Linked DNA regions of Macaca fascicularis. The protein of the gene in region 3 interacts with the protein of the main gene of each other region in a pairwise test. Links are inferred from orthologs where the notes say so. Each region holds a gene or a part of one and is shown on either strand. Other genes may lie near its edges.

Region 1 (4,115 bases), on a different chromosome or scaffold from region 3:
CGGTTCCCCAAGGCACGAGAGCTCCCAAGGCGGCTCCAGTAGGACTTTTCGCTTCTGGGGAAGGTGGCGCCCCTTCTACCCGGACCCTCCCACCATGCGGACAAGGGTCGCAATCCTGCCAGTGTCAGGAAACCCCCACTGACTGGAGCGAGGCGGGTGTGGGGGTGAGGCGGGAGTCGGCCCAAGGTCGCGCGGCTGGACCCTGCCCCGCGCTAGGGCGGGGTCCCCTTCGTTCCTAGGGTGAAGACTGGGCCCACAGAGAGGCACTGACCGGGCTCGAGCGGCGGCCCCGCTGCCTCCGCCTCCGTCCTCATGACCCGGGCGGCGCGGGGCGCCCATGGCCCCGGCCCAGAGCGGGCTACAGCTTCCGCTTCGGCTGGGGCGGTAGGGCGGTCGGTGCGTGTCGAGTTCCTTCTCCGCCACCGCCGCCGCTGCGGAGGGGAGAACCGGAGGCGGTGGCTGGGCCGCCCCAAGCCCCGCCCCAGCCCTTCCAGGTCTCGAATCTGGAGGCCCCGCCCTTTCTCTAAGCCCCGCCCCAAACTTTGATCCTAGAGGCCCCCAGCCTCCCGATTTAAATCTGCCCCGGCCATTCACCGCCTCAGCGTCGAGTGACCCAGCCCTCTCGTCCAATCCTCGCGCAGCCGCGAAGCCCAACAAGACGCGGACCCGGAAGCTCCGCCCCTTTCCTTGAGCCCCGCCCCAAAGCCCGTGCATTTCGTGAACAGAGGCTCCTCCCTTCAGCAAGCCCCGCCTCTGCCGGGGCCCGCTCCTTTGCCAGTCTTAGCTGTAAACCCTGGTCCGGCCCAGTGTATTCCGGAGGCTCCAAACAACTCTCCTTAAACTGCCTTTAGGGATGACCCTGAGCCGGCCTCCTCTCTACTCTATACCTAACTTTATCCGTACGAGATACGTAGCCTCACTCAGGGCGCCCCTTACCTGGCGGTGCTGGGATCAAAAAATTAAATTGTGAGGGGAAGTCCTGGCCCTTGGCCCAACCTCCTGCTGCCCCCGGTCTGAGGGCCCAGGCCCCGAGTCTCCGCCTTGCCGTCCAGCCTGTCCTTGGTGTGGGGCGCTTGGAAGTGCAAGCACCCTCTCTGGCTCTTTGCCGGCCCCAAGGGTCGTTGTTTGCGGCGGTCCCCGGGCCCAGTCTTCGGCCCTCTTTTCCGGTGCCGGAACTATCGTACTGGTGCCTTAGTTTCCCAGCCGGCACGCGGGGTGAGGAGGAAGCGGAGGCGACACCGCTCTCACCACTGGGGAAAGGAAGGAGGCGGGCCCTGCGCGCAGCATTTTGGGAACGAGTGGAATTCTGGGAGCTGGGCCCGCCATTCTCTTGATTCACGCCTTCGCCGTAGCGGCTTTCGCCGTGCACCGAAGAGAAGGAAAAGTAGGCCAGAACCGGTGAGGCTGGGGACGGGCGAGGGGAGGTCGAGGTGCCTGTGAGGGGCCGGGGGCTGGAGAAAGACTCAATGCATGAACTCTGCGGGATTCGGGGAGGGAAGAAAGCGGGAAGTTTGGACCACCCAAACATCAGCGTCGCCTCACTAGCGCCTGGAAGTAAGTTCATTAGCTGCTCCCTCAATGTGCATGCTTCTTACATTCTGTATCTCTCCAGGTGAGTGTTTTTCAAAGTTTCCAGGCAGTAATCTTGAAGTTATTTCCTATGAGTTTTTTGAATCTTGAAGTCAAATCCTATGAGGGTTTTTTTTTTTTTTTTTTTTAAAGTAGAGACGGTTTCACCATGTTACCCTGGCTGGTCTCGAACTCCTGGGCTCAAGGGATCCACCGGCTTCGTCCTTCAAAAGTGTTGGGACTACGGGCGTGAGCCATCGCGCCCAGCCGGTCATTTTTTAAAAAGTTCTTTGCATGTCTGCCCCCAGCTCCCTTTCAGGCAGTGGTCCCGTCATGCTTTCCACACTGTTGCAGCAGTTTTAACTGTTGCAGAAATTTTAACAAGTTTCTCTGCTTCTAAACCTTACGTTAGATCCATTTTGTAAATAAATGCTGCTACCTTTTCATTGTGTCATTCTTTACCTATAATTTTGCAGTGGTTCCCCACTATCTTCAGCATAAAATCTAGGCTCCTAAGGCTGAAAGCCAGGGATCCTCACCAAAGGAGCCTGTCTTTTCAACCTCATGTTCTCCTGTCTTAGGTGCACTTAGGTTCCAACTTTGAGTCGTCGCTCATGTCAATAAAAAGTTCACTACTTGATGCTTTTAATTAGGTCAAGTCAGGTGCTTTCCCTTATTTTCCTCCATGACGGGCATTTCCTGCATATAGCACGTTGTCACTTCGATATTTTCTCAATATCCTTGATGGTAAAGTAAGGGAAGGGTTAAAGAGCTGCATTAAAAGTACAGTCTCCTCTCCTAGATATGCATGGTCCTTAGGTCTGTATCTGCTCCTTCCGTAGGGTAGCCACCAGCTACATGTAGCTGTTGAGCACTTGGAATATGGCCACTGGGATTGAGGGACTGGGTTTTTTATTTTAATTCTATTGTGTTTTAGTTAAGTTTAATTTAAATAGCTACATGTGGACATGAGCTACTGTATTGGACAGCTCAGGCCTGTGTTATGATTCTCAAAATATAATAATCTACAATTAAGGGTTGACAAATAACAGTGCAACAGATTAACATTCCAATCCCCCTCCCCTACACACACAGTATTCGCTAATGGTCCTTTAGCTGAAGATTAAGGGACATAGGGTAGCAGGGACACATGGTCGATGGGAGATGCTCTCTTTTCATTCCTATTTTTACTTCTGTCCACCCCACCATTCCTCCTCACCCGACATCTTGCACATATTTGCCAGATAGTTTCCTCCAAGCCAGGAGCTGAGCTTTCTTTTTTCTTTTTCTTTGATAGAAAATGCAGCTTTGGCGTTTTTGCTAAGTTTTATGGAGTGCCAGGCCTTGAAGGAGGCATGACGTGTGCCGCATGCCTTCTCAGACTCTGAAAGATGAACTGACTGTTGTCTCTTTCACTGTAGAGCTCTCTTCCTGCCAAGATGTCTATTGGTGTGCCAATTAAAGTGCTGCACGAGGCCGAGGGCCACATTGTGACATGTGAGACGAACACCGGTGAGGTATATCGGGGGAAGCTCATTGAAGCAGAGGACAACATGAACTGCCAGGTATTCTGCTTTGCATGTGAGGCTGTGTGGGAGGAATGGCCCTGTGTCTTGAAGGACAGAAAGGTGTGGGTTGGGGGTCTTCTGTAAATTGTTCTCATTCAGCAATGATTTCCTGAGTGCCTAACACATACCAGTCAGGTGCTGTTATAGGCTCTGGGGATGTGGGCATGAACAAAACACATAGTCTTGAGGCAGAAAAGCCATTTGGAGATTTGGAATATTTTACTTCGCCTTTTTTGTTTTTTCCATCCCCAAATTTGGGGACCTGTTTGGGAGAAGTTCCTTCAGTAGAATCCTTCAGGTTCAGAGCCATTATCCATTTGCCTCCACTTGCTTTGCAGTTAGGAGAATCTTCTCACATACTGTGTTTGTTTCCCTTTTCTCTTGGAGGAGGAGTCTCATTTGATTATTGCAACTACCTTGTGAGGTAAGCAGGTTTGGTGGTAGTCTTGTCATCCATAAAATAGGGAGAATGAGATTAAAGGACTCATCACTCTGATAGTAAATAATGGAGTAGTTTCTTGATACGGTGTCCTTCTCATGGCGCAGCTTTGCCTTTTGCATAGTCATCTGAATTTTTATAGCATTGTTTTTCAGTTGTATCTTCACACTTTCTTTGTTCTTTAAACCATTGGTTAAGAACTTGGACTTGGGAGTCAGAGAGAGATGTGGGTTTGATTCCTAATTATATGACCTTAGATGTATTAATCACTCAGTTTTCTCATCTGTAAAACGGGAGTGTTATTATTTTGGGTTCTTTGATGTAGATGCCAAGACAGAATTATGCAAGGTATTTATTGGGGGAAATGACAATAAAGGATAAAGGAACAAGGAAACAGTAGTAGGCAGGGAAATTTTCAGTCCGTGATGCTGGTCTGACTGGTGAAACGAGAGGGGAAAGAAGGAGGATTGAGCAGGAAGAACCTTAGACTACAGTGTAGTTTTGAGGAAGTCTCAGCAAGGCAGTGATTGCTCATTAGA
Region 2 (4,207 bases), on a different chromosome or scaffold from region 3:
CGATGCAGTTCAACCACAGAACCCGGAGGACACCACCTGCTGCCTCCACCACCTCCTGGCCACCCCTGGGCCCTGAGCCAGGCCTGCACCGTCAGCACCACCCGTACGGAGCCCTCTCCAGCCCTGAGTGGAGGGGAAAACAAGAAGTCCTTCTGGAAGGAGAGTCACTCGGGTAAACACCTCACAGGGCACACGCCTTTGACTTGGGCACTGCGTGGGGAGCGCCAGGGCACAGCCAGGCACAGAACGCTGCCTGAAGGGTTCTCAGCAACACTAGTGGTACCAGCCGTACGCCTCTTGGCTCAGGGACGCCACCATCAGCTCAGACCAGGTCACACTCTGGGGGCAGTGGCCACAGGAAGTTGAAAGGGCTAGTTACAGTCAGAGGAGAAAAACTGCCAGGCGAGCCAGGTGTGGCTGAACAGCCACCTCTGAGCTCCAAAGGAAGAGACTAGGCCTCTCGAGCCTGGGACCCGTTTCCTGCAGAGCGTGACTACTTCTGTCCAGGGTTCCTCCAGAAAAAACTTATTAACAGAGTGACTGTTAACAGTGGCTGTCTGCTGGATAATGGAACCTTACACTACAAACGTCCAAAGAGTGGGGGGCTCCCAGCCCTTGGAGGAGGCAGACAGGACCAGCCAGCACCTCCAATCTCCCCAGGATGTGGCTGGGGTCGGTTCTGCGCCAAGCCCACAGGACTGGGCCAAGGCCCATCCCACTCAGCAGACGGACAGGACCAGCCCACAGTCCCGTGCACCCGGGGCCAAACCTCCCCTCCCCCACTGCCATGTTCTCAGGTTAATGACAAGTGTGCAAAAGGGAAGATCCTACTCACTGACATTCCCAACCACATGTCCACCTCTCAGAACTAACAGCTGCCCTGGTCAAGGCTGACAGGACGAAGTACATGCTGCGGACATGGCAGACACCTCAAAAACGGCCAGGCAGGTGGACAAGGCACCCCGGGCAGTGAGCAGATGCAGCCCCCACTGCATGTCCCTCCCAGAGTTCTGCAGAGGACGCCAGCATGGAAGCAGGTGCTCAAAGATGGGCGACAGAATCACAGAGGGCAAAACGCGTCTGCAGAGCTGACAGTGCCAACCAGGAGCCAAACCCAGACCCCAGAGGGAGGTGGCCAGGCCTGGGCGGGCAGGGGAGACCTGGTGCTGAGGCCCAGGGCAGAGCCACGCCCTACAAAGTTCCAGGACACAGAACGAGAGACCCCCAAACCGCAGCTGTCATCCTCAGCTGCAACGGCAAATAGTTACCCCACGGTGCTGCCCCAACCCTGCCCCAAGCCGCAGACGGGTACACAGACGCGCACAGGCCATGCGCTAGGAGCTCAGCGAGGACGCCCGCGGCGCGGGCCCAGCCACCAGCGCCGTTTTCTTCCCGACGGACTTGTGCTCCCTGCCGAGCTCCTACAGAAACGGTGGAGAGGACTTGGCTGGGGGTGCTCGGGCTCCACGGAGCACCCTGCGCACCCGCCGCCTCGGCCCTGGCTCCGGGCCCTCTAGCCCCAACTCTCAGGGTTTCACCTCCCCACTCAGGGCACCGGGAAGGGCGCGACCGCCTTCCCTTTTCCCCACTGGAAGGGAATTCTGTCCCGGCAATCGCGGAGACTACAGCAAAAGGGCTCTGGCCCCGGCCGGGCTTCTGGACACCGATGCCCTTGGAGGCCGCCAGAGAACGCTCCAGCTTTGGCCCGGGGATCAAGCGCGCGGGCTCTGCCTTTGCAGCCGTGTCGAGGGAGAGAGAGGCTCCGCGGAGCGGCCCGGGCCGGCCCAGGATGCGGGCGCTGCAAGATGGCGATGGCCGTGCGCCCGGCGTCCGCCCGTGCTCCCTGCTTCCGGGGCCGCAGCCGGCGAGGAAGGCGCCCCGGGACCCGGGCCGGCACAGGCAGAGGCAGGTGGAGGCGCCGGGCCGGGCCGGGCCCTCGCGGAGTTCGCGGGAGCGGAGACCCCCGGGGACCGCCCGCGTCACCGCCGGGGGCTGCGCTTTGGGCCCGGTCTGAGGGCGGCGGCCTCCTCCACGGTCAGACCCGGCGCCCAGGCCCCGTCCCCTTCCCCCACAGCGCGCGGCCGCGGTCGCCGGCAGCCTCAGGGCGGGAGGGGGCGCGCTCCCGCGAGTGGCCCGGGAGCGCGCTCCCCAGGACACCCGTAGCTGCGCACGGCGCAGCTCCCACCCCGGTCCCGCAGGCCCAGCCGCGGGGTCGTGACCGGGGACGGGGTAGCGGCCGGGGATCGGGACTCGGGACTCGGGGTGCCGTCCCGGGTCCCATGGGGCTGGGGTCGGTGGAGCAGCCTGGAGGCCCACGGGCCCCTTTGTGTCACCTGCGCGGGCCGCGGGCGGGGAGTGCACACGGCGGCGCTCGCTCACACGCAGCGGCCCGCGCATGCGCACGACCCTTGCCGCGGTCCCGCCCCCGACCGCGGCCACGCGCGGACGACGGCGCGCACGCGCACTCGCACACAAAGCCGGCGGCCCGCGGGCGCGCGCTCGGCCCGCCCCCGCGCCCCCCGCCCGCGCGGCCCCCGCCCCGCCCCGCCCCCGCCCGCGGCCGGAAACGCGCGCGCGCGCGGCCTTACCGAGCGGCAGGCCCTTGTTGAGCAAGTGCGAGCTGCCCATCGAGAGGCGCGAGCGGCCGCGGGCCCCGACCACTCCGGCGCGCTGCGCCGCCGCGAGTCCGGCGCGTGGGGCGGCCTCGGTGCCGTCCGCTGCTCCGCCCGCTCGCCTGCGCCTGGCCGCCGCCGTGCCGAGCCTCCGCCGCGCCGCTGAGCCGCGCTCCGACGACCGCGCGGGCGGGGACACGGCGGCGCGCGCGGGCGGGGCCTCGCGGTTGGTCTCCTGGTTCCCGGCGCGGGCGGCGCACGGACTCACGCGGGCGGCTCAGGGCCCGCCCGGCCGGGCGCGGCTGCGGGGCGGGGCGGGAGCCTGGCGGGAAGCTCACGGGGCCTGCAGCCCGGCGGAGGCCCGAGGCCCGGTGTTCCGCACGTTCTAAACCGCCTGTCCCGGAGGAAGGCGGGCAGGGTCGGGCCGGGCTCAGCACCGCTGGCAGGAGCGCCGCCCGCCCCGAGGCCCCCTGCGGGACGGCGCCGGGCCCGGAAGCCGAGGCAGGGTCGCCCACGTCAGCGCCCGGAACGGACCCGAACGTAAATGGCGCTCCTCCGCGCAGCGGCCGCCCCGCTCCCTTCCCGCCCCGCCAGCCGCCGCCCTCCCCCGCTCGCTTCTGGCCCCGCGGCCTGGCCCGTGCGCCTCCGAAGACTTGTCCTTGCGGTGCCGCTGTCCCCGGGGCTGGCCAGGGGCACCGAGGCCGCGGGTTCCCCCCATCGCCCCCACCCGAGCCCTGATTTACCGTCCAAGAGCCGGCCGCACATGGGGCCCCGGGAGGAGAAGCGCGCCCGCCCCAGTTCGTCCCCAGCCGGGGGGGACCCCGACTCCGGGAGGGGCCGCGTTCTGCCCGGCCCAGCGCGCTGTTCCCGGCCCGGGAAGTTCAGGGCTGGAGAACCCCCTTCTCGACCCCGTTTCTCCTTTAACAAGAGTAGGGTTTGTAGCCAGCTCTGCTTCTGCCCGCTGCGGGAAACGCCCCGACCCGGGAGGGCCCGAAAGTCCCTTCAGGGAGAGGCCGCACCGGGCCTGCTCACCCAGGGGCTGCCCCTGCAGACTCTCCCGAGGGGCCCAGGGATATTCCTCGCGCCGCGAGTGGACGCTTCCATCCACCCCGTGGGGAGTTGTGGGAAGGGCCTCTGCGCGTGGCTACTCTGAGCACACTGGAATGATCAGATAGTTGCATAATTTGAGAAACCACAGCCTGGAGACGGAATGATGCAGACTCCTATCCGAGAGACACCTGCTCTAGTTTCGCTGTGGTTCGTGAGGACGCGTCCTAGGCTGCCCTGAGAAGCCCATGTCTGCCCTTCCAGGCCTGGGAAGACCTCTGACCCCACTGACAGTGCTGGGCCCTCAGTCGGGCCTGCCATGCGTACCACTTTCTGTTCTAAGACCGGGCTGCCCAGCTGTGGCCTGGAGGAAACCTGGCAGGTATCACCAGAGCTTTGGGGAGGGTGGGGCCCTGTCAGGGAAGCCCAGTGGGAGTCATGAAGGAGGGAACACGTGTGGAGCCCTTGTAGGGGGAGGGGCAGCCCTGCAGAGATCTAAGAAAATTCCAGAAAAATGAGCAGCAACCTCCAAGGCCAGACATCGGTGC
Region 3 (3,511 bases):
AGTTAGGCCCTCAGGCTGTGTCTTAAATCAGTAAGCTCTCTCTAGTCAGAGATTCAAATTCGTCTTAATGTTCACCAATCCCTTACCTGGAGGTGGGGTTGCTCTGCCAACAGGTGGGGGCGGAGTCCCCCGTCCTGGTGGGTACTGTGTTGGGGCTCCAGCAATGCTGGCGGTGGCAGCAACAGCAGCAGCTGCTACAGTGCCTCTTCCCTGTGGAGTCATTACCTGAGAAGGCAAGGGGAGAAACCAACAAAGTGATACATACCTTCACGTTATTCAAACACAGAAAATAAATGAGAAAAATGGCCAATTAGATACAAACAACTGTTGCAATGTTGTACTTCTCTCGTTATTCCCATGTTTTTTTTTTGAGACAGTTTCACTCTTGTCACCCAGGCTGCAATGCAATGGTGCAATCTCAGCCCACTGCAGCCTCCCACTCCCGGGTTCAAGCGGTTCTCCTGTCTCAGCCTGCTGGGTAGCTGGGATCACAGGTGCCCCCAACCAGGCCCAGCAGGTTTTTGTGCTTTTAGTAGAGACGGGGTTTTCACCATGTGGGCCAGGCTGGTCTCCAACTCCTGACCTCAAGTGATCTGCCCACTGTGGCCTCCCAAAGTGCTGGACTACAGGCATAAGCCACCGCACCTGCCTATTCCCATATTTTAAAAACTAATCTTAGTACACTGACATCCACAAAGCCCTTTGATCTTTTCAACTGAGGTATATCCAGGCATTCCGTTCACTCACCACTAGTGGCAAGTTACTCTTACCAAGAGTAACTCGGGTAATTTTAATCACCCAATGACCATTTTAAGTAGCTAGTTTTATTCCCTTCCTCCTGTATATCTGTCCGTTGGTTCCTCCTAGACCATATGCCCTTTACATAGTATGACATGTACACTCAGGTTTTTAAATCTCCTCGGCCTCTGGCTTAGTCACATTCTCCCAATATAAAACCCTCCGCTGGTTCCTCACCTGCTGGGACGGTCCCCCAACTCCTCGGACAGGGCCTGCCAATCCAGCAGGGGCCTGGGGAATTGGCACACCAGCTGGTACTCCTCTACCAGCTGCCCTACCAACCCCAGGGCCTCCAGCAGCTCCAGCAAGTGGTACCCGAGCAATGCCAGTCTGAAACAAGAAAATGTATAGCCTAAAATCAAACAATTTACAAGTTCTCAGTATTTTTATGCATCAGAGATCACTTCTCTCCACCATTTTCCCAGACATTTATCTCGTATTAGTTCTGTATCCAAATGAACAAGCAAGTATACCATGGAGGTATCTTGTGGATAAAATGCACATTATTTGTCAAATTGTGAAAACAGCTCTTTTATAAACATACCAAGCAAACATGAATCAGCAACTCCTACCCTCACCTAGGTAATGCCCAGCACACAGAATAATTCACCAAAAAACCCTTAATCCCAAATAGCATAGGCAACCAACAATTGATACTAAGTGCTTGGCACATTTGACAATCCATGTTAAACTGTGTCTGTGCTGTACTGTGATTTCAGACATCTCACATAATATGATGTCCTTGCAAATTAGAGTTCTGTCCTGCTCTACATCTTCCTTACATCTTTGGGGGGTGGCCCCTCCACAGTCATGGATACCAAGTTCTCCCCACGCAGCAACACCAGACCCAAAACCCGCTTTTCTTCACGCTCTGGTTGCTTCGCATTCTTTGGCCTACAAATCAGAATTAAATTTTAGTGAGATAATTTTAGTGACCCCTAGATTACTCACTCATCAAAATATTTATACAACCTCAAGTATCAATTAAGGCAACCGATGCTAAACAGATATTAAGTTATCACTGAAAAACAAACCAAAAAAAATCTGTAAACAGTTAATATAAAAGGGTAAATAGTAAAGCTGTTTTCTGATCTAACTTTAGTCTTTTACAGAATGTTCCTTTGATGTTAACACTACAACAAGACGAATTTCTTTTGTAAAACGCCTTTTAAGGAAAACAAAGTTGAAACTTCGGTTTCCATATTAAAATGGAAATTTCTTTAAAAAATTACTTAAATAATTAAATCATAATGACAGGATGACACAACTGAAATAATGCGAACAGTAATAGGCAAAGAGAGGATAACAAATAGCAACCATATCCCAACTCCTCAACCGTGAAGAGCAATTATTATTCTCTATTTCAACCCAGATTTATTCGGTCTAAGACTGCTGCAGAAGCCAACCAATTAATTAACAATAGCATTTTTCTCAATTTTAAAAATAAATATAACTTAATATTTTGAGCACTACACTTTTATTCCCAGTAATAAATCCATGATTGTCTCACAAACTTAAAAGAGTTTATATGCAGACTCTGACCTAATTCAGAGATCAGGTCAAGAGGTGAAACAATAGACTGGCTCTACCTTAGCTTCCCTACCTACCTCAGTTACCCTTGGAAATCCCTTACTCCAGCTCTGGCCTTCCTTTCCCACTGCCTCTGCGTCCAACCCCCATTTACCCAAATCAGCTTACTTGATCTTTCTGAACTCATCACAATCACAGAGGATCAAATTCATATGCTTGTCAAAAGCCTTAAAGGTGCCAATGAAGATTCGGCCATCTTGTAGGATACATCTCATTCTATAGTCAATGTGCTGCAGCATCTTGCTACTCTTGCCCACAGTCTGGAAGCAGTAAGACAAGAGTCATGTTCAGGTTGCCAACACCCTAGTCTTCTAATCTTCTGTTTCTTCTCCGCCCTTATATAATCCAAGCCTGGTTTCCTTAACTAAACAAATATTCTCTCCTACTTTTTCACCAACATTCTTCCATATTTAGTATGAGTCTCTGGAGGACCACGAAGGATTATGAAGTATTTTTTCACATCTCAAGAACCAATTTTCACCTCCTTAGGGGTGATTATTCTTCTCTTAGACAATGCATGCTGTAAACTGTCCACTCCCCTAACTAAACCAAACCACAATGATTAGGGTGTTCTCTCTCTCCAGACTGCTTTTCTCTGTACTATTAATGCCAAAACCCTTCCATTTTCAAAGTCCTCTTTATTTCTATTGTAATCTGACCTGAGAGTCCATCATCTGCAGGATAGTCCTTCACCACGGGTGGAATCATGACCAAATACTCCTGTATTTTCTCACATCATAAAACATTTCTCACGGCCAGGTACAGTGGCTCACGCCTGTCCCAGCACTTTGGGAGGCCGAGGTGGGTGGATCACTTGAGGTCAGGAGTTTGAGACCAGCCTGGCCAACACGGTGAAACCCTGTCTCTAATAAAGAGGCTGAGGCACAAGAATCTCTTGGACCCAGGGTTGTAGTGAGCCTGGGAGACAGAGCAAGACTCCGTCTGAAAAAAATAAAAAAAATCAGCTCATCTCCCGCTGATACTCAGTGCAATGAGAATCTATATCCATGGATGTATACTAACATTCAGAACCCAAAATCACTGCACATGCTGGCAAACTCTTTCTTTCAGCCCTTACATCACGTTTTCAACCCTCAGCCTTATTGTACAGCTTACCATGATT

What was found.
Region 1: the proteins of SNRPN (region 3) and SNRPD3 interact in a two-hybrid assay, tested with the Homo sapiens proteins (2 studies listed by BioGRID, with this or other methods). The link is inferred for Macaca fascicularis from reciprocal best matches to the Homo sapiens genes SNRPN and SNRPD3.
Region 2: the proteins of SNRPN (region 3) and CTBP1 interact in a two-hybrid assay, tested with the Homo sapiens proteins (2 studies listed by BioGRID and IntAct). The link is inferred for Macaca fascicularis from reciprocal best matches to the Homo sapiens genes SNRPN and CTBP1.

Annotation. Positions count from the first base shown.
Region 1 is NC_088384.1:28,879,723-28,883,837, reverse strand, and holds the start of SNRPD3 (small nuclear ribonucleoprotein Sm D3), read left to right. Parts: upstream 1-1,309; 5' UTR 1,310-1,398; intron 1,399-2,990; 5' UTR 2,991-3,008; coding exon 3,009-3,134; intron 3,135-4,115. Other genes in the region: protein GUCD1, read right to left, coding at 272-314. UniProt on the Homo sapiens protein: Plays a role in pre-mRNA splicing as a core component of the spliceosomal U1, U2, U4 and U5 small nuclear ribonucleoproteins (snRNPs), the building blocks of the spliceosome.
Region 2 is NC_088379.1:1,343,341-1,347,547, forward strand, and holds the start of CTBP1 (C-terminal-binding protein 1), read right to left. Parts: upstream 2,804-4,207; 5' UTR 2,629-2,803; coding exon 2,589-2,628; intron 2,404-2,588; exon of another isoform or gene 1,269-2,403; intron 1-1,268. UniProt on the Homo sapiens protein: Corepressor targeting diverse transcription regulators such as GLIS2 or BCL6. Has dehydrogenase activity. Involved in controlling the equilibrium between tubular and stacked structures in the Golgi complex.
Region 3 is NC_088381.1:4,135,592-4,139,102, forward strand, and holds part of SNRPN (small nuclear ribonucleoprotein-associated protein N), read right to left. Parts: 5' UTR 3,508-3,511; coding exon 3,505-3,507; intron 2,649-3,504; coding exon 2,497-2,648; intron 1,693-2,496; coding exon 1,581-1,692; intron 1,129-1,580; coding exon 976-1,128; intron 226-975; coding exon 87-225; intron 1-86.